Linked DNA regions of Diceros bicornis minor. The protein of the gene in region 2 purifies or fractionates together with the protein of the main gene of each other region. This does not show direct contact. Links are inferred from orthologs where the notes say so. Each region holds a gene or a part of one and is shown on either strand. Other genes may lie near its edges.

The links.
Region 1: the proteins of WDR62 (region 2) and MAPK8 purify together in Homo sapiens (affinity purification with mass spectrometry; 5 studies listed by BioGRID and IntAct, counting the BioPlex papers as one, with this or other methods). This does not show direct contact. The link is inferred for Diceros bicornis minor from reciprocal best matches to the Homo sapiens genes WDR62 and MAPK8.
Region 3: the proteins of WDR62 (region 2) and CEP170 purify together in Homo sapiens (affinity purification with mass spectrometry; 3 studies listed by BioGRID and IntAct, with this or other methods). This does not show direct contact. The link is inferred for Diceros bicornis minor from reciprocal best matches to the Homo sapiens genes WDR62 and CEP170.

What each region holds. Positions count from the first base shown.
Region 1 is NC_080745.1:12,136,859-12,144,071, forward strand, and holds the start of MAPK8 (mitogen-activated protein kinase 8), read left to right. Parts: upstream 1-4,144; 5' UTR 4,145-4,226; intron 4,227-7,213. UniProt on the Homo sapiens protein: Serine/threonine-protein kinase involved in various processes such as cell proliferation, differentiation, migration, transformation and programmed cell death.
Region 2 is NC_080773.1:8,598,892-8,605,947, forward strand, and holds the start of WDR62 (WD repeat-containing protein 62), read right to left. Parts: upstream 3,099-7,056; 5' UTR 2,534-3,098; coding exon 2,357-2,533; intron 1-2,356. Other genes in the region: THAP8 (THAP domain-containing protein 8), read left to right, coding at 3,280-3,362. UniProt on the Homo sapiens protein: Required for cerebral cortical development. Plays a role in neuronal proliferation and migration.
Region 3 is NC_080777.1:2,072,471-2,080,378, reverse strand, and holds the start of CEP170 (centrosomal protein of 170 kDa), read right to left. Parts: upstream 3,100-7,908; 5' UTR 3,013-3,099; intron 2,936-3,012; exon of another isoform or gene 2,692-2,935; intron 2,169-2,691; exon of another isoform or gene 1,994-2,168; intron 1-1,993. Other genes in the region: SDCCAG8 (serologically defined colon cancer antigen 8), read left to right, coding at 3,747-3,813.

The DNA.
Region 1 (7,213 bases), on a different chromosome or scaffold from region 2:
TGGGGACCACAATTTGAGAACCACCGTCTTAGAAGAATAAATGCTGACCATTTTTTTCATGAGAACATGCGTGTGTACTCAATCTATAGGCTTGAATAGCTGGGTTGTCTCTCTTCATGCACCTAGAAGCGATGTGTGCATAGGAGAGCGAAGGAAAGGAGGAAGCCCAAGCAAAGAGGGGGGTACTACTTGTAAATTCAAATTAGTGTACCACCCACCTCTCTCTCTACTTTGTTTTGTTCAAGTTGTGACTGAGGAACTCTGGTCATTTTTGGTCATGTTCTACCCCTGAGGAAATGTCATAGTTCTTGCAGTTGGAGACATCAGTTTGCAATATGAACACTCATCTTTCCTCTACTCATGCAACCAGAGCCTGAGCCACTCCCTCTGGAGCCCACAGGCTCTACCCTGAAAGAGCCTCAAAGAGCATCCTAGAGTCAGGGAGTGACTGACTGAGTTTCTGAACCTCTTCTTCCTATGGTGGGAGGGGTGACTTGACCAGGGGCCTGGTTGGGAAACCAAACTGGGTGGCTTGAAAGCGAGGCTAAAGAAGAAGGGCTCTGGCGGAGATGGGGTCAGGAGAGAGGGTGTGTCTTCGGAGATGCCCTTCTGCAGGCCTTACAGTAAGCCCCCTCTCCCTGACTCCCCACACCTGGAGTGTGAGGTCAGGGAATTAGGAAGTGAGATCAAGTCTCAACTTTCGGTTTCTGTACCCTTGAACAGCTTGGTGAGGTCCAACTGACACCTTAGCCAAAGGCCCAACCCCAAAGCAAACCAGTGTGTGTATGTGGTCTGGGGAGGATGACAAGGAAAGAGGTACTCTGGACAGGGTGCAAGCTCTTCCTCACCATTTCTCAGGGTTCCAGCAGAGACTGGATTTAAGGGGCCTGCAGCCTCCCTTTCTCTCTTTCCCCCATCCCAGCCTCAGAGAGACCCAAGGACCAGCTGTCCCCAAGACAACTCCCCTGGGACAAGAGGCAATAAACCTGAATTCCTTAGCTCTTCCTCCTTTTCTGAGTCAGCCCCCAATAGGTTCACAGGGAACCACGATAGGGTAACAAGCAAAACGCTGTGAGAAGGAAGAAGGAGGCCCTGAGCCACATCTGGGTTACAAAAAACATTTTGAATTTGTAGAATATCAGAGATGATTACATTCAATCACAAATAGTGAAATGCTGTCTGAAATCACACACACGCATATGTACATATTTAAACACACGGGATGTCCCTTCCAGGTATAGATCATTGGAAGCTGACAGCGGTAAACTGAAGCTAATAAATCAGAAGTTCTTCCTGTTGAATGAAAGAGAGGCTGTTGATAGTATTACAGACCTGGGCAGGAAACTCTGGAGCTCTGTTCTGGCAACACCTCTTATTTTACAACAGCTCTGAGCATATCGTCTTTTGTTACCTCCAGGTCTTTAATTTGCCTGGTGGGGACTGGGAGGTACCTGCCAATACTTCCACCTGTGTGCCCAATCACACCCCCACCCCGCTCTCCCAGGAAACTTACACTCATGTTTATTCCTTCTATTCTACCTCTCCCTCTCAACAGTCTTCCTACCAGATGTAAAATAGGCTTGTCTCTTTCTTCGCTGCCTGACTCCTAGTTATCCACCACCTCCATTTTCTCATCTCTTGTTTATTCCTCAGCCCACTCTAATTCACTTCTGGCTTTAACTACTCCAGGATTTCAAGCTTCCTCTTATATTTGATATTATTGATCACTCCTTTCTTCTTGAATCCCTGTTTCCTTCTACCTCCCTGGCAGGTCATTGGCAGGCTCATCCTCTTCATGGCCATTTAATGCTGAAGTTCCTCAAGCTTGGTTCCTGGCTGTCTTCTGTTCTTGCCCACTACCCTCTTTCCCTCAGGCCTAGGCTAACTCATCCATACCCAAGACTTCAAGTCATCATTATCTGTCGATGATTCATCTCTTATCTACCTGAGCCCAGCTCTGTATCTCTAAATGCCAACTTGGCATCTCTTTTGGGCAGATCAAAAGCCTTCAAACTACCTGCTCTCACCATCTTTCCACTCAAGCTTTGTCCTCCTCCAAGATTCCCATCTCTGAACCAGCACCAACATCTATCCTTGGCCGCAAGCCAGAAACCTGTGAGCTTTCCTTGATATCTCTCTTTCCTTCACTGCCCACATAGCCCATCATCAACTTCTGTGCTTTGGATCTCCTAAATGGTCTTCAGATCTTTCCTCTTACTGTTTTCATGACTATTACCATAGACCAAACCTCTACCATCTGTTATCTAGACTACTACATCCACCTGGCCTCCTGCCAATATGGAATCTTCAAGATGCCATTCTGACCATGCCACCCCCTTTGCTGAAGCATGTCAGGGTCTTCCCATTGCACTTAGGATAAAGACAAGATTTTCAACATGGGTAGTATGGCTGCACTAGGTTTGGTCCCTTTCCAGTCTTCCCAACTTCATCTCATAGCTCCTTCTTCCTTGATCTTCCAGCAGCACTGGCTTTTCCTCAATTTCTCCAACTCACCCTGCTCCCTCTCACCACAAGACCCTTGCCCACTAAGTTACTTCTGTCTGAAATATTTTCTGCCTAGTTAAATCTATTCTCAGTTCAAGAGGCAGTTCCTCAAGAAAGCCTTTCCTGGCTTTATTAATTCTATCAATTGGTTTCATAATACTGTGTAGCCATATCAATTTGTATTATAATGAGGTGATCACTTTGCATTTGTTTACTGTTACTATTTCCAAATTAAAGTGATTAAGTCTGTAAGCTTCATCATATTATTATCAGTGCTAGCACAGTGCCTGGCACAGAATGCATGCAATAAATACTTATTGGAGAAATAAAGGAAGGAAGGAAGGAAATAAAGAAGCCTGAGAGGGAGGGAGGGAATGAGGAGAGAATGAATGAATGAATGCTCACATTTGCGTTCCATTTCAGAATGACTGGAAATAGGCCAACCCAACATGACATGGGAAGATAGTCTACCTGAATTCACTCATTTATTCAATAAATATTTATTGATTCATTATTAAAGTAATGTACATTTTTCTGATTATGAACATAACTGTTCCATTTGGAACCCATGGAAAAATACCCAAAGGATAAAAGAGAACCAATTTACGTTTCATTCCACAGTCTAATGATGAACTATGGTTAAAATAATTTGGCATATTTCTTTCCAGGTTTTTTCTATGTATATATAGTATATAAGTAGGATCATTCTCTCTATATATAGACTTGCTTCTTTTTCTTAATGATGTATTATGAACATTTTCTCTTGTTGTTAAGAATTCCTCCAACACATGGCATTTAAATAGCTAAAATGTATTCTATTGCCAAGATGTATGTAGTTTAGACACCCTTCCACTCATTGCTGGATATTTAAGGGCTTGCCAATGTGTCACTTCTATAACAACATCTACACGCTTTGTGGGGTCCAGAAATAGCGTAATGCATGGAATCTGGTAGGAGGTGGATTTTGGGAAAACAAGAGGCAGCTTTTTCCAGCTGGTTGAAGGGAACATTTATTTGCTTGTGGGTTGCACCAGAGGTGGATTTTGGGAAAACAAGAGGCAGCTTTTTCCAGCTGGTTGAAGGGAACATTTATTTGCTTGTGGGTTGCTGGGCCCTGCGCAGGTGTCTTCGGAATGCACCACACTGTTGGTCAAGGTAATGAGCTCTTCGTCCCTCAGGTGTGCGCCCGGGGCCGGGAAGTCTGCTCCTCCGAGCAAGTTTGGTCTAAGCGCACCTCACCTGCAAACCCCGGGGCGAGGAGCCCCTGAGGTATTGGCTCCTACTAGCGGACCGCCCCGGGCCAGCCGCCGGGCACTCTGGCCACGCGCCGCCACGTGCCGGGAGCAGGGCGCCGCCCCCTCCGGCTCCCCGCCACGCCCCTCACACGCCGCCCTCAGAGGCTCTCTCCGCAGCTCCGCCTCCGGGCGACCTCCGCCAGTCCTCCCGGCCCCCAGAGTAGCCCCGCCCCGCAATCCGGGCCCCGGGGCCGCCCCGCCCGGCGGGCCGCTCGCGAGGCGTGGGGGCGGCGCCCTGCGCGATGACGTGGGCGGGCGTGCGCGGTGACGGCCCGCGTCCCTGTTACTCAGCGGAGCGGCCGAGGCCGGACGACGCGGCCCGGATCGCGGAGCGGCCAGCGGCGCTGGGTAACGGCCGCGGCGACCGCCCGGACGGCGCCGGTGCCCGCCGGCGGGCTCTCCTGTCGCCGTTCGCTGCGCTGCCTGGTGAGTGCGGCGGCCGTCGTAGGGCCTTGGCGGCCCGCGGCCCCGCCGTGTTTATGTTATTGTGCCGCGGCTGCCGCCTTCTCCCCAGCGGTGCCCCCCTCCCGTGGTGGGGGCGGGAGCGCGCGGGGCGGGGGGCGCGCGGGGCGGGGGCGGCGCGCGAACAATAGCGGCCCGGGAGGCGGCAGCCGGCGGGGGGCGTGGGGCTGCGGGACCCTGGCCCGCCGCGCAGCTCCGCCCGCCGGTCCTCGCGCGCCCTGCTTGTGCGGGTCCCGCGCCCGCGTCGGGAGGCGAGAAGGGAGCGGGGGTGGGTGGCAAGTTCGGAAGTACTTCGGCGGAGGCGCCGGGGCGTCCCGCCGCGCCCTAGTGCCTCCCGCGGCGGTGGCCCGGTCCCGGCGCCCACGGGGACCGTGTTTTGTTTCCCGGTGGTTTCTTTGTGCTGACGTTCTGAGCGAACGTAGCAGCGGCGCGGAACAAGGTTGGGGTGGCCTTCAGCTCTGGGCTGCGAGGGAGAGCGGGGCCTGGGGCTGGGGCGAAGGGTGGCCGTCAAGCTCGGCGCGAGCTTCAGTGGTCAGCGGGCGTTTCTCTGGACGGTCGCTCGGTGGTGACCTTTTGACTTTTTCACCCCACCCTCCGACCTCTTTGTCTTGCATTTGTGTTCCCAATCCTTAGGTGGTAGAACCAAGTCCGTTTTAAAGTATTGCGATGAACACTTTTAATTTTAATTTCTGCAAGTTCTCTATCAGATGTTTACTGTGAACTTGGTAACATGTTGACTGCGTGGTATCAGACGATGTTCGGTGGTTACTGTTTTTACCTCTGAAATTCAGTAATCGTTACAGTAGAATTCTGGTGTGTCAGTCCATTGTGTTTTGAGATGAGCATCCAGCAAATACCTCCTCGGCAATTAGAACATCATTTCATTCATTCATTCAGCAACTGTTCAGTACGTACTGTACTCAGATGGAGAGTTTGAAGATAAAAAGAAATATCCTTTAGTGGAAGAGGATGCTTTGACTGAAATATAATAGATGTGCCTTTAAATGAGACGGTTATGTAAGTGATGTGTGTTAAAAAAGGTATAGTTATACTCTGGGTCATTTTAGTATTTTTTAGTAGTACATCTGGAACTTATAGTGTAATGTTATATTAGGAAGTAGAGTTAGATTTGGTCTAAATGTACAACAGCTTTTATTTATTTGCGAATTTAATTTTTCAGTCTTACAGCCTTACAGTGATTTGTAACGTTTACCTCAGATTCCCCTGCTGTGGGTTAAGCCTAGGAGGTCAGATGCTGTAAGTGAACATGTTTAGTGCTGTGCCTGACAAAAGCAAGCCATCAAAATGGGACTTCCTTGAGGACAGGCCTGTCTTGCGTCTGTGTCTCCTCCAGCACCTAGCCTGGATATGTAGTAAGTGTTCAATAAAAGTCAGGTTAATGTAAAGCTCTTTACAACTGATAGTATTTCAAATCAAGCCTTAAAAAAAAGTTTAACGTTCTCTGTAAAGTTTTGGAAGCCTTGTGCAAACTGTTACTTCCAGATGGCTAAATGATCAGTTCATATGTATTATCTGTCACGACAGTAGGGGCTTTTGAATCATTTCAGTATCAATTTTTTTTTTTTCTATTCTATACTTTTAAATCCTAAAATAAAACCTTGTCTAAAAAATTTTTTTAATATGTGTGTATCTGTGTGCGATGTATATATAGCATTCATATACATATATATCTTGCACACAGACACACAGTGATATTTCAGTAGGGGTCTAAAATGATTGCATTTATCCTTTTGTGAATATTAATTGAAAAGTTTCTGATGACTCCTGTATTTTAAGTGGAAAAGCTAGAACAAAGGAAACAAGTTGCATAAAAGTTTTATTAGAAATGTTTAATTTCTAATAACATTTTAGAAATGTTTGTTGGTAATGTTTAATTTTAAATTCTTCATTGTACTAATACTATTGATGAAGCATACCATTGATGAAGCATATGGGCCTAAAACTCAAAATAATTGATTTATTTAATAAATAATAATAAATAATAACTTGATTTATCCAAGTTACATCTCTTTTCTACTCACTACTTAATGAATTTTGACATGTGTTTTGGAGAATTTCAGGTGAGCTCTTTGTTATCTGATGTAGAGTACAAATAAATAAGAAAATGATATTTTATTGAAATAAGGGATGAAAATCTTGAGATACCAAACTGTTATTGCTTTACCTGGTTAATTAAGGTATGTCAGGTTCCAGTAGGAGTTACTGATACAAGTCCTTTGGCAGTAGCTCACTGTCAGGCTACATGTCAAGCCAGAGTTTTTGTTTTGTTTTCTAAATTCTGTTGGTTTTTGAAAATAACAGCTTTATCGAGATGTAATTGATATACCATAAAATTTACTCTTTTAGTTGTGCATCAGTGGTTTTTAATATGTTCACAAAGGTATGCATTGATCACCATTTTCCAGAACGTTTTCATCACCCCAAGGAGAAGCCCTATACCCATTAGCGGTCACTCCCCATTCCACTCTAAATTATATTTAAAGGAAGAGATAGCACTGAGTCTCTTAGTAAGTACTATAGTATTCCGTTAATGAATTTGAAAAGGACTCCCTTTAAGTGTCCTGGCAGAGTAGGAAACTATGTCCTTCATACCACCTTACATCCTGGGAGAAAGGCCACTTGGAAAGGAAATTAGTTTAAGAATAAATTTTACCAAAATTAATGAGGTTGGAATCTTAACTATTTTCTCAATGTTTAATATTATGGAATTGACCTTGTGAAGATACTCAAGGCTCAGTGAAACTTCTTGAAGTAATTTGTTGTTAAGTATCTGGTCACCAGCTTTCCTAGTGGTTATTAAGAGGTTGTTGAATAGAAGCCTGACTCTTGTTGGTCTGCTTTGCCAGTGAGTTGAGTTTGACAAATTTGAGTCATCTAGATAGTTGAGATTCTTTGTTGCACGTGTGGAAGTATAAAATGTCTGACATTAA
Region 2 (7,056 bases):
ATAGCGGTTAAGTGTGCGCGCTCTGCCGCTGGCGGCCGGCCCGGGTTCGGATCTCGGGCGCGCACCAATGCACTGCTTCTCAGGCCATGCTGTGGTGGCGTCCTACATAAAATAGAGGAAGAGGGGCACGGATGTTAGCCCAGGGCCAGTCTTCCTCAGCAAAAAGAGGAGGACTGGCAGATGTAAGCACAGGGCTAATCTTCCTCACAAAAAAAAAATAGAGAAATGAAAGGCAAACAGGATACTAATAGCTAATGTTCACTGAGCATTTACAAGGAGCCAGGCCCTGTTCCAATACCTATAACTGTGTTAACTTATTAATGCTCACACTAACCCTGTGATGTCACTACTGTCATCATCATCTCTATCTTACAGACGAGGAAACAGAGGCCCAGAGGGGTGACCCATCCAGGAAGGAGCAGCAGCAGGACTCTAAACAGGCACCCAAGCAATGGCACTTACGTGGGTCTTATTTGTCAATCAGCATTACTGAGGATTAGTATAACTGGTAATTTTTAAAGATTTTATGTATTTATTTTTTCCCCCAAAGCCCCAGCAGATAGTTGTATGTCATAGCTGCACATCCTTCTAGTTGCTGTATGTGGGACGCGGCCTCAGCATGGCCGGAGAAGCGGTGCGTCGGTGCACGCCCGGGATCCGAACCCCGGCCGCCAGCAGCAGAGCGCATGCACTTAACCGCTAAGCCACCGGGCCGGCCCTAACTGGTCATTTTTAGACTAGGTCTTTTGCAAGCCAGATGGACTCTGTCCAGCCAAGCAAGAAAAATAAAAAATGATATCAATTATCCAAAATACATAGTCACAGCTGTATTTTAATAATAACAGTCACAGCTGGCACTAACAGAGTACTTGCAATGTGCCAGGTATTGTTCTAAGTGCTTAAGACAGGTGAGCTCACTTAATCCTCAAAAATACCCTATAAGGGAATATTTATACTACTATCCTCATTTTACAGATGAGGAAATGGAGGCACAGAAAAGTTCCTAACAGAAAGAACAGAATTAAGGTTTAAGCCCTGGTGGGCTGGGTCCAGAGGCAATGCTGTTAGCCACCTTGCTGTACTGCCTCTCTGAAACTGCTGTGGTTATTCCTCTTTTGTACATTGTTTAGAGCTCACAAGGCACTTTCAGGAACATACAAGATGAGGGCTATGAAGTTCAGGGCGCTGGGTGAGAGATTAAGGTGGGTGTCTGCTTTAGGCTGGGGTTCAAGAAAGCCTCTCAGGGTAGGGATAGTCACGCTGAGACGTGAGTGATGAAGAGCCAGCCAGGTAGATTGCCGCAAAAAGCCCAGAGAACTCACCAAACACAAAGGTTAGGAGGCTGGAAAGAGCTTGGAGCCTCCGGAAAACAGAAAGCAGGCCAGTGTGACTGAATCTTCGTGAGAGAGAGGACAAGGCAGGTACAGCCAGAGAGGTGGGCAGGGGCCACTTGCCCAGGGCCTTGCAAGGAGTGGGTGATATAATCAGAGTGCAGCAGGAAATCAAGGAGCAGGAACAAGATCCACCAGCAGCTACGTTTCATCTGGACACTGTGCCAAGCAGGTCATATTCACAACTTCATTTCACCTCTCTACAACTCCACGGTATGGTTATTGTTATCTCCATTTTACACAAACAGACTTTGTGGCTCAAGGAGTTGGAGAACACTTTTTTAAAAATTGCGCTGTGCTAATCGAATTCCTTCTACCTACTCTAAAATCTCCTTTGTTTGTGTCTCAGGACTTAGGAAACTGTTCTGTATGCCCTCCCCCCGGCAGCGATGCTGAGATTTTACTCATGGTATTCACATCCTCTCCATAACTTAGGGTGGCAATATGGAATAAGAATCCCACCGTGGTAAGGAAGAAGGAAACAGAAGGCAGGGGTGAGGGAAGGAGGAGTAGAGCTGAGGGAGAGTTGAAGCAGGTAGGACTTGGGACTGAACCTCAGTAGGGACCCTAAACACCCGGCGAGGGGCGAGGTCAACCACAGTGGAAGGGTCCAGAGACACGTCTAAAGGCGACTAAAGGGATATGCAGAAAGGCGGGACTAGGAGGTGATCAGACCTAAAAAGCACTCCGAGGGATGGGACCAGGGAGGAACCCAGCAACGTGCCAAGGGTGCCGTGGGGCCAGGGGTTTAGAAGTGGGCTAGGAACGATAGGCAGTACCCGAGAGAGGGCACGGGACGGTGGGAGGAGCCCTGGCTAAAGGGGCGGGACCTAGGAGACGGGGCGGGGCCAGAGAGCAGCCAAGGGGACTAGCCGAGGCTGATAGACGGGGCCAAAGATCTGAGGGCGGGACCAGGGAGGCCCAGGTAGCCACGAAATGGGTGGGCAGGGCAAACAGCACCTCACCCGGTTCTGCACCGTGTCCTCGGGCGCCGCCAAAGGTCGCGTCCGCCGCCGGAGGCAGAGCGGTGGAGCGGGGGGCGGGGAGGACTGGCCCCTCCGCGCCGAAACTCCCGCATTGACGGATGGCAGCTTCTCGACTGCATCGTTCCGCGCGTAGCCTCCGGGTCCCAAGGCTGCCATCGTCGCGCCGGAGGCGGGCGACCGTTTCACTCCTCAACCGCCGCCGCCGCCTCCACAACCCACTTGAATAGCGAACAGCCGCGGGAAAGCCGGCGCCGCCGCCCATTGGACGCGGCAGGCCGCCGGTCTGGCCAATCGCAGGGCCGCCGAGCGCCGCTTTTGACCAATGAGGGCTAAGAGGCGGGGCGGAGAGTCTGATCGGGTGGAGCCACAGCTAGTCTGCCTGATGCTCGATCAAAAGTCGTGGCTTTTTTATCCAGTCTGTGTTTTCACCATTCACTGAAACACACAGGTTTTAACTATCACGAGGCGAAGGCCAAAGCCTCCGCACCTCGATTTTTGCTGCTGCACGACCCTCACCCACCAAGACGACTATCCGCCCAACAGCAGTCGCCCGGATGTAAGCGTGGGGTGGAGCCGAAAAAGACTGATGAGTTGGCGCAGACTCAGAAACGCCGTGACTCCTCCACTCCCCCAACGCGCGATAAGGTCAGGGTGGCTGAAATGGGGCTTTGCTCAGACGCACTCGCTCTTCCCCATTCGCCACATGACGAGGGCGTAGCTGTGGTAACGCGGAAGGGCGCGTAGTACGCAGGCGCTCTCTTCCCTCCCCAGCACGTGACCAAGCACCAAGGGACGTCACGTGAGGTAGGCGGTGAGAGCGCGGGCGGGGCGGGGTTCGGCGGCGTCCGGCGAGGACCAAAGTGCGCTGCAGATCGGGCCAAACTCAGCGGGGCAGGACAGCCATGCCCAAGTACTGCCGGGCTCCGAACTGTTCCAACACTGCGGGCCGACTGGGCGCGGACAACCGCCCGGTGAGCTTCTACAAGTGAGCGCAAGCGCGGGGCGGGGCTTGCAGGGGGCGGGGCCCTGTGGGGGCGGGGCCCGAGGATGAGTGCCGCTGTGTTGTTCAGCCGGTCCAGCCCGCGAGTGTGAGTTAGCAAGGTGAAGAGACAGTATTCCCAGCATTTCACCAGCACACACCTCACGTACGAAGGTGCAGATGTGTGACAGCAGGGGTAGACGATTAACTACAGGTAGTGAACGGGGCGAACGGAATGAGAGGAGGGCTGCGTAGGGAGAAGTGAGGTTAGTCCGAGCTCTATAAGAGCCTGCAGCCGCCCACTCGCCATCTCCACGAATTTGAGGCATCTCAAACTCAAAACATCTGAAACTGACCTCCTGCTCTTGTCTCCCCCACAGCCTTTCCTATCTTAGTTAATAGCTTTCAATCCTTCCTGTTGTTCAGGCTTGAGATCCTTAGCGTCATCCTTACCTCTCCTCTTTCCTTACACTTGAGAAACTAAAAATCTTAGCTTGAACAGTAAAAAAAAAAATCTTCCTTCTCATTTATTTGGCTGGTATAGCAGACACAGAAAGCCAGCTGAAGAGTTAATAGGAAAAAGTATTTCTATATTTTGCTCAAGGACATGCTGCAGATGTAAAGTGACACAACTCTTCTTTGAGTGACTGCTGCTTTCTTACTCACTAGGAAACTTTGTTCTCTGAAATCATAGATGATCACAAACTTTGCTGTTTGAAATTATATCAGTAACCATAAAACATCTCACTTAACGCCTGGAGGAGTTAAGTCACTTTGACACAAAGAAGCGGCCTCGATTTATAATCCAGGTGCAGAGTTTCCAGTAAGGGGTTTCAGGACAGAGTAGTCCACATGTGTCTAAACTCTATTGCTTCCAAGGAGACAGGACCCTGGGCCCGCTTCACAATCCAGACCTGGTATGGATCCATTTACCCACAGTTCTGCTTTGCTTTGAGCCTATCCCAACACTGTTTCATTTGCATTTCACCTAAACTTCAGCCTTCCCCCAAACCCAGATAATAACTCTTATCTGTTCCTTTGATGAGACTCCCCACAGTACCTCTGGTGTGCAGTCTCCCTCCTTGCCATGGTAAAGAAACCTGACTTTGTTGGACTACAGGTTTGTTAGTCTAACTGGAGCAGGACACATTCCTCAACCAGTCCATCAGCAAATCCTGTTGGCTCTCCCTTTAAAATCTATCCAGAATTGACCACTTCTAACCCCATTCTCTGCCCCTACCCTGGTCCTGGCCATTATCACCCCTCCCCCCCACTGCACTATTTTAATAGCCTCTACATTGGTCAACCTGCTCCCACAGTCTGTTCTCAACACGCAGTTACAGGGAACCTGTGAACCCCTGAGTCAGATCAGGGCCCTCCTCTGCTCAGATCCCTCCCCTGGCTCCCACCTCACTCTGTAAAAGACAAGAAGGTGAAGCTCGAGCAGGCAGAAAGCAGATCTACAGAGCCCTACGGGAGCTGGCTGCCCAATATCTGTATGACGTCATCTCCTCCCTCCTGCCCCTTACTCTGCTCCAGTGACACTGGCTTACTCCATGTTCCTCTACCATGCCAGGCACACTGTGGCCCAGGGCCTTTGCCTGTGCTGTTCCCTCTGCCTGGAAAGTTCTTCCTTTTGTGACCACCACTCCGTGTAAAATGATCACCTTCTCCCAGATAGATACATAGTCTCCCTATTTGCTTCCTGCTTTATTACTCCCTCTAACACTCATCACTCTCTGGCATACCACGTATTTGATGTATTCCTTTATTGTCTCCCCGACTAGAATGTCAGCTCCAGGAAGGCAGGGATTTTTATCTGTCTTGTTCTGTGTTGTGTCCCCAGCACCTGGAACAGTGTCTGGCACATAGTGGGCACTCAGTAAATATTTGTTGGACGAATTCAGTGAATGGATTTCAGATGGGCTCCTCAGGAAACCAGCCGTCCATGTTCCAGCCATCCCAAGAGACCCTGGTGTGGGCAGGAGGAGAGCAGAGGAGTCTTTAAGCTGAAATCAGTGTGTCCAGACGTGCTTTTTAAAATATATCCCTCTGGCACCATTTATTAATTCAGCAACTCTGAGTGTCTCCTGGAGTAAGCAAGCCCCTGCTGGACACAGAGGACCCTGACAGCTCTTGTTCTGGCCCTGACAGAGCTCATGGATAGGTGAGGGGTCAGACATCAAGGGACTGAATACACAACCTGGGAGTCACCCCTGGTCCTTCCTCTTCTTCAGCACCACTGCCCCCAAACTGGCCCATTAACCCGTCCTTTGACTCTACCTTCCAAACACATGCCCATCCTGGAACAATCACAACAAAACCCCTAATAGCTTGGTACTACAATTATAAATGCAAATGGGAAAAATCCTAACTAAACTATTAGGAAATAAGAAAAAGAAAAAAATTCAGTCTGACCACTTCTCATCACCTTTGTTGTCACATTGTAGTCCAAGCTGCTGTCATCTCTTTTTGTGTGTGTGAGGAAGATCAGCCCTGAGCTAACATCCATGCTAATCCTCCTCTTTTTTTTGATGAGGAAGACCAGCCCTGAGCTAACATCTATTGCCAATCCTCCTACTTTTTTTTCCCCAAAGCCCCAGTAGATAGTTGTATGTCATAGTTGCACATCCTTCTAGTTGCTGTATGTGGGACGCTGCCTCAGCATGGCCGGAGAAGCAGTGCATCGGTGCGCGCCTGGGATCCGAACCCGGGCCGCCAGTAGCGGAGCGCACGCACTTAACCGCTAAGCCACGGGGCCGGCCCCGCTGTCATCTCTTAATGAGACACTGACAGCTGCTTGCTGGTCTCCCTGCCTCCACCCCTGCCTCTCTTACAACAACAGTAATAATAATAACTTAGAGAGCACTCACTGTATAGCAGGCACTGTTCTAAGTGCTTCACATATAATAATGAGGAGAACAGTGACAACTGTGCATAGCGGCCAGATGACTTGATAAAAATCATTTCATGTCTGTGTTGTTGAAATCCCACCAGTGGCTGCCAGGCTGTTCCTCACACAGGCTAGTCCATTCTCCCCTCAAGGCCCGCCCCTGAGTCAGTCTTCTAGAAGCCACTGAGCTAAGAATTGGGTGAGGAGCACTTTCCAAAGGAGATTGAGGGGAGGGCATGGATACTAGGTAGGAACAAGGTGAAACATATCGAGGGAACTGGCTGCCGGGAAATACCTTGAAAGCCTTCCCCGGCAGCCAGAGGAAACATTCATTCGTTCTGTTTCAGGCCCTTTCAGGGACAAATGACAGTCATCTCTAATGGAGGGCGTGTCAGTTACGAATTGCACCTGGCTGGCAGTAACAAAATCCCTAAATAACAGTGGCTTAAACAAACTGTGGGGTCTGTAGGAATCAGCATGGTTAAGTTATGTGCAGCAACAAACACAAAATCTCAGTGGCTTATTACAACAAAGGGTTATTTCTTGCTCACACTGTGTCCTTTGCAGGCCATTTGTGGCCCTACTCTACAGTATCTTAACTGGGGACTCAGGCCAAAGGAGCCGCCACTATGTGCAATATTGCTGGTCTTGTGAGAGGAGGGGAAAGGGAAAGTGGGGAGAATCACCCAGTGGCTCCTGGTAAATTTTATACTTAGAAGTGGGGCATGTCACTGTCACTCCTTTGCCCAAAGTGAGTCTGTGGCAAGCCACAGGCCAGTGGAGTGGAGATGTGTAACCTTCATGTGA
Region 3 (7,908 bases), on a different chromosome or scaffold from region 2:
GTGTTCTTATTCTTTGGTATCGCCCACACTGGCTAACTCACTGCTAAGCACATCTCTCAACAAATATTTGAGTAAATAAATCAAAACTCATTTCACCAAGGGTAGCTGATTATTAGAAATCTTGGTTATTACCCAATGTTTATGAAATAAAGATGGTCTGAGATTTCTCCCCATAAGAGGACACCCATTTCTTAAAACACATCAACATTTAATGCTCCAGCCAATATTATCCATCCACCAAGGATTTTTCAGATGGCATGTAACCGCTCTTTTGTTACACTTCCAGAATAATTTGCAACTGTACAAATATTTTAGTTGGCAATTTAGCATCACTCTGTTAAAATTAAAATAGCAAAAATTATTTTTCAGAAGTAGAGTTTTGTTGGAAAAAAACATGTTGACAACAAGTTTAAATATATACAGTATTCAGTACTAGATGAGTGATATCTGATTACTATCAGATGCAACAATGAAACCAGTGGTTTTTTTTTCAGTGATAAAAGGAAACAAGAAACTGATACTTGGAACAAATAAAACAAATCACTAAGCATAGAATTTTTTAAAGCACCGTGATATCTGCATCAATATGCATAATGTATGATAATTTTACAGTGTAAATTTCACTATTCTAATGCTAAGATAGAAAATATGCAGATGGTTATTTGTTGCTATACAAAGTAATTTTAGAACCCCATGAAATTACCAGTAAAATACATTTAAAGTTTGATTTAATATAATATCAGACCCTGAATTTAATTACAGATTATTTTAAGTTGAAATTTAAGAGAAAGATTAATGAATTATTTTTAAGAAGGCTCTTAAAAAGCAATGTAGAATTAAAGGATAAAAATTACATGACAACAAAGAAGTCCTTTATGGCAAAATCAACTCAATAAAAAAGTGCAAATTTAATTCTGATAAAAAGTTCAACATGAATTTTTTTCTCAAAAGGTCAATTCTTGTTTAAGTTGAAAATAATATAATTCATTAATCAAAGAAAAATGAACTTCACAGGTTCTTGTTATGTGGCAATTTTATTCGTAACAGAGTTTATAGAGTTGATCATATCATAAAATACTGCTGCATATCAGGAAATAAAATTAAAATATGGTTACTAATAAGTAGCAGGGAAACAACTCCAACAGTTGCTGTTTTTATGAAAAGCCCATGTTAGGGCATCTTTCCCTATATCAGTAAGTTACTTTATAAAACTAAAGTTCCACTTCAGTAGAATTACTATTTTTACATCACGAAGGACTAGATTGATACAACCAGGGGCATCAGTGCACTTGACTGTCACAAACAACTCAGACAGCCTGCAGAGCTTTGCATAAATTTTCATAGATAGGGCCGGGGGACACAGCTGAAAGATCACCCTGCAGAACAGACCTTGGTTTCACTTGGCTCTGCCTTTCCCCAGCACTACGGCTTGGACAGACAAGTCAGTTCACTTTTCCAAGTTTTAAGTGTCTTCCTCTGTCTCTGTCAAGCGCATTTAGACTCTTCCGTTTTAAAACACCAAAATGCTACAGTTTCTATCAAGTCAGGAAGAACTAAAAGCAGCCCTGGTTTTACTTTTTAAAAAAATAACGGCAGAAAAACACAAAATGGCTTGTCTCTTGCAATGTCACATTTACAGAGCTGAATTCCTAAATCCGAGAAGCACGCCCAGCTAGGGTTATATCAGTGAACCTCCAGATCCCGTAGTATTCACCACGTAACTCCTCTCACATCACTCCTCCCCTGCTCCTCCCCACCCCGCCTCAATCTCTCTTCTGCTTGTTTCAACGCCAGCAAATGGCTGTAAGCATCGTACGCTTCAGGATCAAATCATTTTAAAAGATGCGTTTTCAATCAAGTGTATCCTCTGCTTCCCCCACGTTCCTTCCAAACGAGTGAATTTTCCTGAAGACAGTGAAAATACGAATCAACAAATTCAGGCCTATGTTTTGTTCTGATTGCTCAAAAAGCAAAACGGAAAGATGCATCCTACCCATTCCCTCGGGAGCAGGAACGCGCTACCCAGCCCAGGAGAAAACAATTGCGCTGGTTCATCTCCCCGGTCCACGGAGCGCCGCCGCCAGGCCCTCCCAGTCCCGTCCGCGTCGTCATCTAGGCATGCTACACTGCCCACCGTGGCCGTGCTCGGACAGCCACTGGCCCTGTCTTCCAGGGGCTTACACTCTCCAAATCTGCGGAGGGCCCCGAAACAGAGACGCGATGACTCGGGACACGAATCCACGGCTTCCCGCCCCGCCTCGGGCAGCCGCTCGCGTTTTGTTCTCGTGCACAGGACGAAGGGAAGACACCCAAACCGCGCACTGGGCTCCGAGGACAATGCAGCCGCCGGGCGGCGCGTCCCCCCGGGGCACCACGGGGCCGCAGCCCTCGCGGGGTGCGGGACACCCCTCTCCGCGTCCTCCGCCGCCCCCAGCCCCGGACCAGCGGCACAAAAAGCGTCGGGACAGCGCGGTCCCCGGCGGGGGGCGCTGCACAAAGCCGGGGGCGGCGGCGGCGGGCCCGGAGGCCGGCGGGGAGCGAGGGGCGCGGCCGGGCCCGGCGGTGGGGTGGGCGCCGCGCGGCGTCCGGGAGCCCCCGGCCCAGCCCCCCGCGCCCTCGCGCCCGCGCCCCGCCGCCGCCCCGAGGCGGAGGATGTGGAGACGCGGCCCCGGCGCCGAGCGCATCACTCACCCCTCAGCGCGGGGACCGGCACCGGACGGGGAGGCGGGGCGCCGCGCCCGAGTCTCTCGCACGCCGTCGTCCCCCACCCCGTCGCCGCCGCCGCCGCGGACGAGCTCCCGGGCCCTCAGCCCCGCCGTGCAGTAACGTTATTCCACACACGCCCCACACCTAGCGGTAACGGCAGACAGCGGCCACCTAGTGCGCAGGCGCCTGGGGAAAGGGCGAGGAGCCCGGCCGCGTCCCCTCCTCCGGCTCCGTCCCGGCCATCTCTCACTGCGCAGGCGCCAAACCCAGACAATGAAAGCGGGTTGTGCTGAGGGTCTCACCCACCAGCTCGCCCAGCTGCCCAGTGCGCAGGCGTGCCCCAAAGACCCGCTCGAACAATGAAGCCGACCCTCGCGTTAGCTGGGACCGCAACCCGCAAGGACTACAGTTCCCAGCGGGCAGTCGGGTGGCTGGGCATGCTAGGATTTGTAGTGTCGGCCCCCTTCGCAGTCAGGCTGTATGGAAGATTTAGAGCTTCTTTCTTGAGAATTTATTTGGCCGTTTTGGCACATGTCGCGGCTGAAGGGTGCAGAGCTTGTTATGTGCGTCCTTGAGGAGCCTCCAGGATCAACTGCATGCTAGCAGATTTAGAGGAGTCAAGGCCTTCAGTGAGCCCTTTCTGTCAGTTGGGTGGTCCAAACAACAGGATGGGAAGAAGGCAGGACTAAGCCAGGGTGGGCTTCGGAAAAAGGGCGGAGCCTCCACGCAGTCTCTTGGCAACCGGATCTGGGCAAAGCTAGCGCTTGGAGCGCGGTCCCCTCTGGGAGTTGTAGTGTAGTCAGAAGGGCTCTTAGGAGCTTGGAGCCTGAGGCCCGGAGCCTGCAGACTACAACTCCCGACGTGCACCATGAGGACCAGTGGGTAGGAGGAGCCCCCGCGAGCTCCTGTCTGGTTCCATGCTTCCCCAGTCAGCAGCGGCAGGAAGCCGGCGGGCGCTTCTCCAGCGCTGAGGCCTGTTGTTCGCGGAGAGCGCTGGACGCTCCGTCACGTAGCTCCCGTCTCTGGGCCCCGAGTCTGTCATGGCGAAGTCCCCGGAGCACTCTCCCCTGGAGGAGGTTCTGGGGCAGTATCAGCGGAGTCTCCGGGGTGAGTTGCTCCGAACCTCTGTGCCGTAGCCCCTGGGGACCAGGGCCTGGCGGGCGGGAGCTGACCAGGCGCGTCTCCTGACACCTGGCTTCGGCCCCAGCCAGGATGCGGAGGAAGAAGATGGATGTTGCCGTGATCTTGGAGGAAGATAAAATAGTTGGTGTTTGTTTTTACCGTTAACCAGCGTTGTTCCCCTTGGCTCCCTTAATTACCTGACCCAACTCTGATTTTGGCATCCTTGGGCATCCTTCTCACCAGCGCCAGCAGAAACTCTTGGACGGCTCTCTGCTGCTTTTGCCCAGTTCCCATATTTTGCTGTCTAATCCAATAAATTCTCGATTCACACTTTTTACGCATTCAAGTTATGGTGTAGTGGGCTGAATGTGATTCGTTAGACCAGGAAAAAAAAACCCATTAATTATTATTTAAATCACAACGCCTTCTATTTAGGGTCTAGGCTGTTTACATATATTAAGTCATTTAAAACTTACAACAACATTAGGAATATCCATCTTTTACACATAGGGAAATCGAGATACAAAGAAGTTAAGCCAAAGCCCACACAGACCAGGTTAGTGGCAGAACCAGGTATTAAATTCAGTCAGGCTTGTCTGTGTCAAAAGCCTGTTTTTCTTTATTAATAATGTCACAGTTACTATTACTGAAACCTTGTTGAGTTAATTCAGATTTTCTTATTATAGGACCCTATGAGTGAGTATCTATAGAAGTGATGTTCCTACTTGTGGATAGCTCTGCCCTCTTGGAGGTCATATATAACATCTAGAAACCTCAGTTCTGTTCAAGTGAAAGTTATAGTATTGTCTGCAGAGTTATAGTGAGGAGCAAATGAAATAATCCACGTAAAGCAGTGATTGTCAAAATTTTTTTTTGCTGTTACCCGTAAGTAAGAAATACATTTTATATGGGACATATACGTACATATAAACTAAAAGAAAAGTTTTATTAAAGAATATTTATTGTACTAGGTGTAATACACTCTATTTTCTATTATTTGGTATTTTATTAATCCTCTAGGTCATGACCAACAATTTAAAAAAATTATTTAAAGCATTTAGAACATTGATTCTTTTATTAATTCAGTGCCTACTGTGTGTTAGGCATACTAGGTGCTGGAGACACAATAAGGAACTAGACAGTCCCTGTCCCCATGGAGCCTCTGGATTAGTGGAGGAGAAAGACAATAAATAAAATAATTACAGATTACTATGATAGAAAATAAGGGTAGAGATTAGTGCTTGGCAAGTAAGAAGCACTTATTAAATGTTAGCTGCTCTTTATAATTGGTACTTGCAGCAAAGAGAAGATTTTTCAAGGAGATTGGGAAGTTTATCTTCTAGTGACTCTAGACTTTCTAAGGGTTGTTGTTTCTTGTTTCCATCTGTCAGCAGTGTTACAAACTATCAACATTCTCAGTATTCAAACTGCAAGTGTAAAATAATTGGTCTTGATGAATACCTTCATCAGCCTACTGATGTTTCAAGAGCTGTTAGATACAGAAATAACCATTTCTAACTTTTCATGTGAAAGCAAGAAAAATACTGTGCACAGTGATAATATGAGTGATTTTGTTTAATTTTTGAGGTTGGTAAAAAAAATATTTGTTTTCCGTTATAAGTTTCTCCTAATGCTTCTCCTTTGCATTCCTTATTTTGAACCTTTATGTAAGCATTAGAGGCTATTTAATATTAAGCTTGTTTTGTTTTGTTTTGTTGTTTTGGTGAGGAAGATTGGCCCTGAGCTAACATCTGTGCCCATCTTCCTCTGTTTTGTATGTGGGACCCCGCCACAGCATGGCTTGATGAGCCGTGCGCCTGGAGTTTGAACCTGCTAACCCCAGGCTGCTGAAGCAGAGCGCGCGGACTTAACTACTATGCCACTAGGCTGGCCCCAATATTAAGCATTTGGATGCGGTAAAGTGGCTAATTTCAAACTAATGTTATAGTACTGTGTTTAATACCCATGATACTGCTTTCAATTATAGAGTGAAGGGTTTTCATTCAAGGATAATACATTTTAAAATAAATTTTAAATTTAGTGTGATAACAGTATAAGATAGTGAAAACATTTATAATCAAGAACAAACATAAAGCAGAGAAATAAGTTAAAAAAACTTTTTTTTTAATTTTTACTGATAGTTTTAACAATGAATCAAGAGATGGAACCTGAAATTTTTCATGAGTTTTTAGGACTTTTTAAATTATTTAGTAGCATTTTAATTTTTATGTTTATTTAGTTTATATAGCAGCTTATGGAAGGAAACAAAACAGAACTAATCCTGAAGCAAAGCACGATTAGAAGTTCTTCGTTTCACACATATAAATTACCACTTCTAAATAGGATAGCTCCCTTTAAAGTCAAATTTGTGTTTCTGAATAAACAAAGTATGGTGGCATTATTTTACATGTAGAACTTCATTATTTTAAATGTTTTTGCCGAATAACTTGAGAATTATGTTACTATACAATCGGGTAACATGCAATTTAAAGTTCTTTTGTCTTGTTTTATTTTGGCTTTGTTGGTTTGGTTTTCTCTATCTGCCATTTCTTCCCCAAAATGTCTTGCCTAGTTCATGCTTAGAGAAAGGCTATAGGCATTCTTGGTCTTTCCTCACCAGGTAATCCTCTGGTTTCTAAATAACTGTACACATAATCATTACTAGTATCCCTTCAGTTATATTCAGCCAGGAAGTAGCCATAGAAAAATGCAAAATGCTTTCACAATTTTCCATAATAGTCCCTCAATTTTTACAACTTTACCTCATTTCTTTAAGTATAATTTTTGGTACAGTTATAGTATATTAAGAATTTGAAGTTCTGATATGAAAAGCAAAGTCAAAGTTGCTTTCTTGCTTGTAAGACTTGAGTGGAATCCTTGCCTCTCCTTGACTCTGGTGACCCTAGAGCAGCCATGGAAATAGGGAGCCCGTTTGCAGACTCTACACTCTCCTCTCATCCTCTCCCTGACACTTTCCAGATATATTCACTGTTTGTCCTCTCTAAGGATATCTCCTGCTTTGGGCTGTCTGTTCCCCCAACTTCAAGAAATAGGAGAGGTTTAATGACTCCCCTTCAAAGTAAGAGTTCTGGCAGAAAAACTAGAAGGTGTCATTGCCCCACAGATCTGTAATATTATTTCTACACAGTAGATAATCTGAAAGTTTCCAGTGTGGTAAAAAGTGAGCATATCCCAGGTATCCTGGGAGTCACGGAATTTATTCTAGAACCAGAAGTGACTTGGGAGGTCTCCTGGCAGTATAGTTAGGTGTTCGTTCACTCTATAGGCAGCTGGAATTCAAGATGCCTAGAATGGCTGAGAACTATATTGGTAACTAGGGAGAATAGCAAATACCCCTCCTCTAATTTAAATTCAACACATCATTGTATAAGGCCATTAGGTATAAAATAAACAAGTTTATAGCCAAGAAAGGATCAGAGAAACCAGAATAACAGGCACCCAGGCTGTTTTAAGTTTTGTACACTTGAATGTAGGGATGTGGTATTAGAAAGAGGGAGAGAACTTGTGAGAAGTGCAGTGTCCCAGCCTTCATAACGATCATGTCTGGTCTGTTGCCACAGTGTTAGATATGGATACAGTTTTATCAACAACACCTGTATACACAACTCACTGTTCTAGCCGCCTTTGGTTGGGTGGGCATAAAGAAATATGGAACAAACTTGTACTGTAACATAAATATCTCATTTATTTTCTATATATATTTTCTATGCTGGCTCCCCCTTTTTCTTTCAACATTTTGGTGTTTCAGGCTCTGGGTTGAATTTGTGGAAGAGTGTGATGGGGTCAGAGAAGAGAATGTGGAACTACAAGCCAGGTCCCTGTACTCTTACTGTTGCTTTGCTGATAATCATCTGTGTTACCTTATGCAAGTTAATGAACTCTTCTTGGATTCTTGCTTCCTCATCTGTAAAATGAAAAGTTTGGACTAGAATTATTGCCTTTAGGAGCAAAGCAGATGACAAAATGTGTGATGGAGTCAGTGGAAGACACTAGAGAATGGTGAGGCTTGTGGCCAAACTGGCCAAAAGTTTCTGCTTTCTCTAAGAACATTCCAATTTC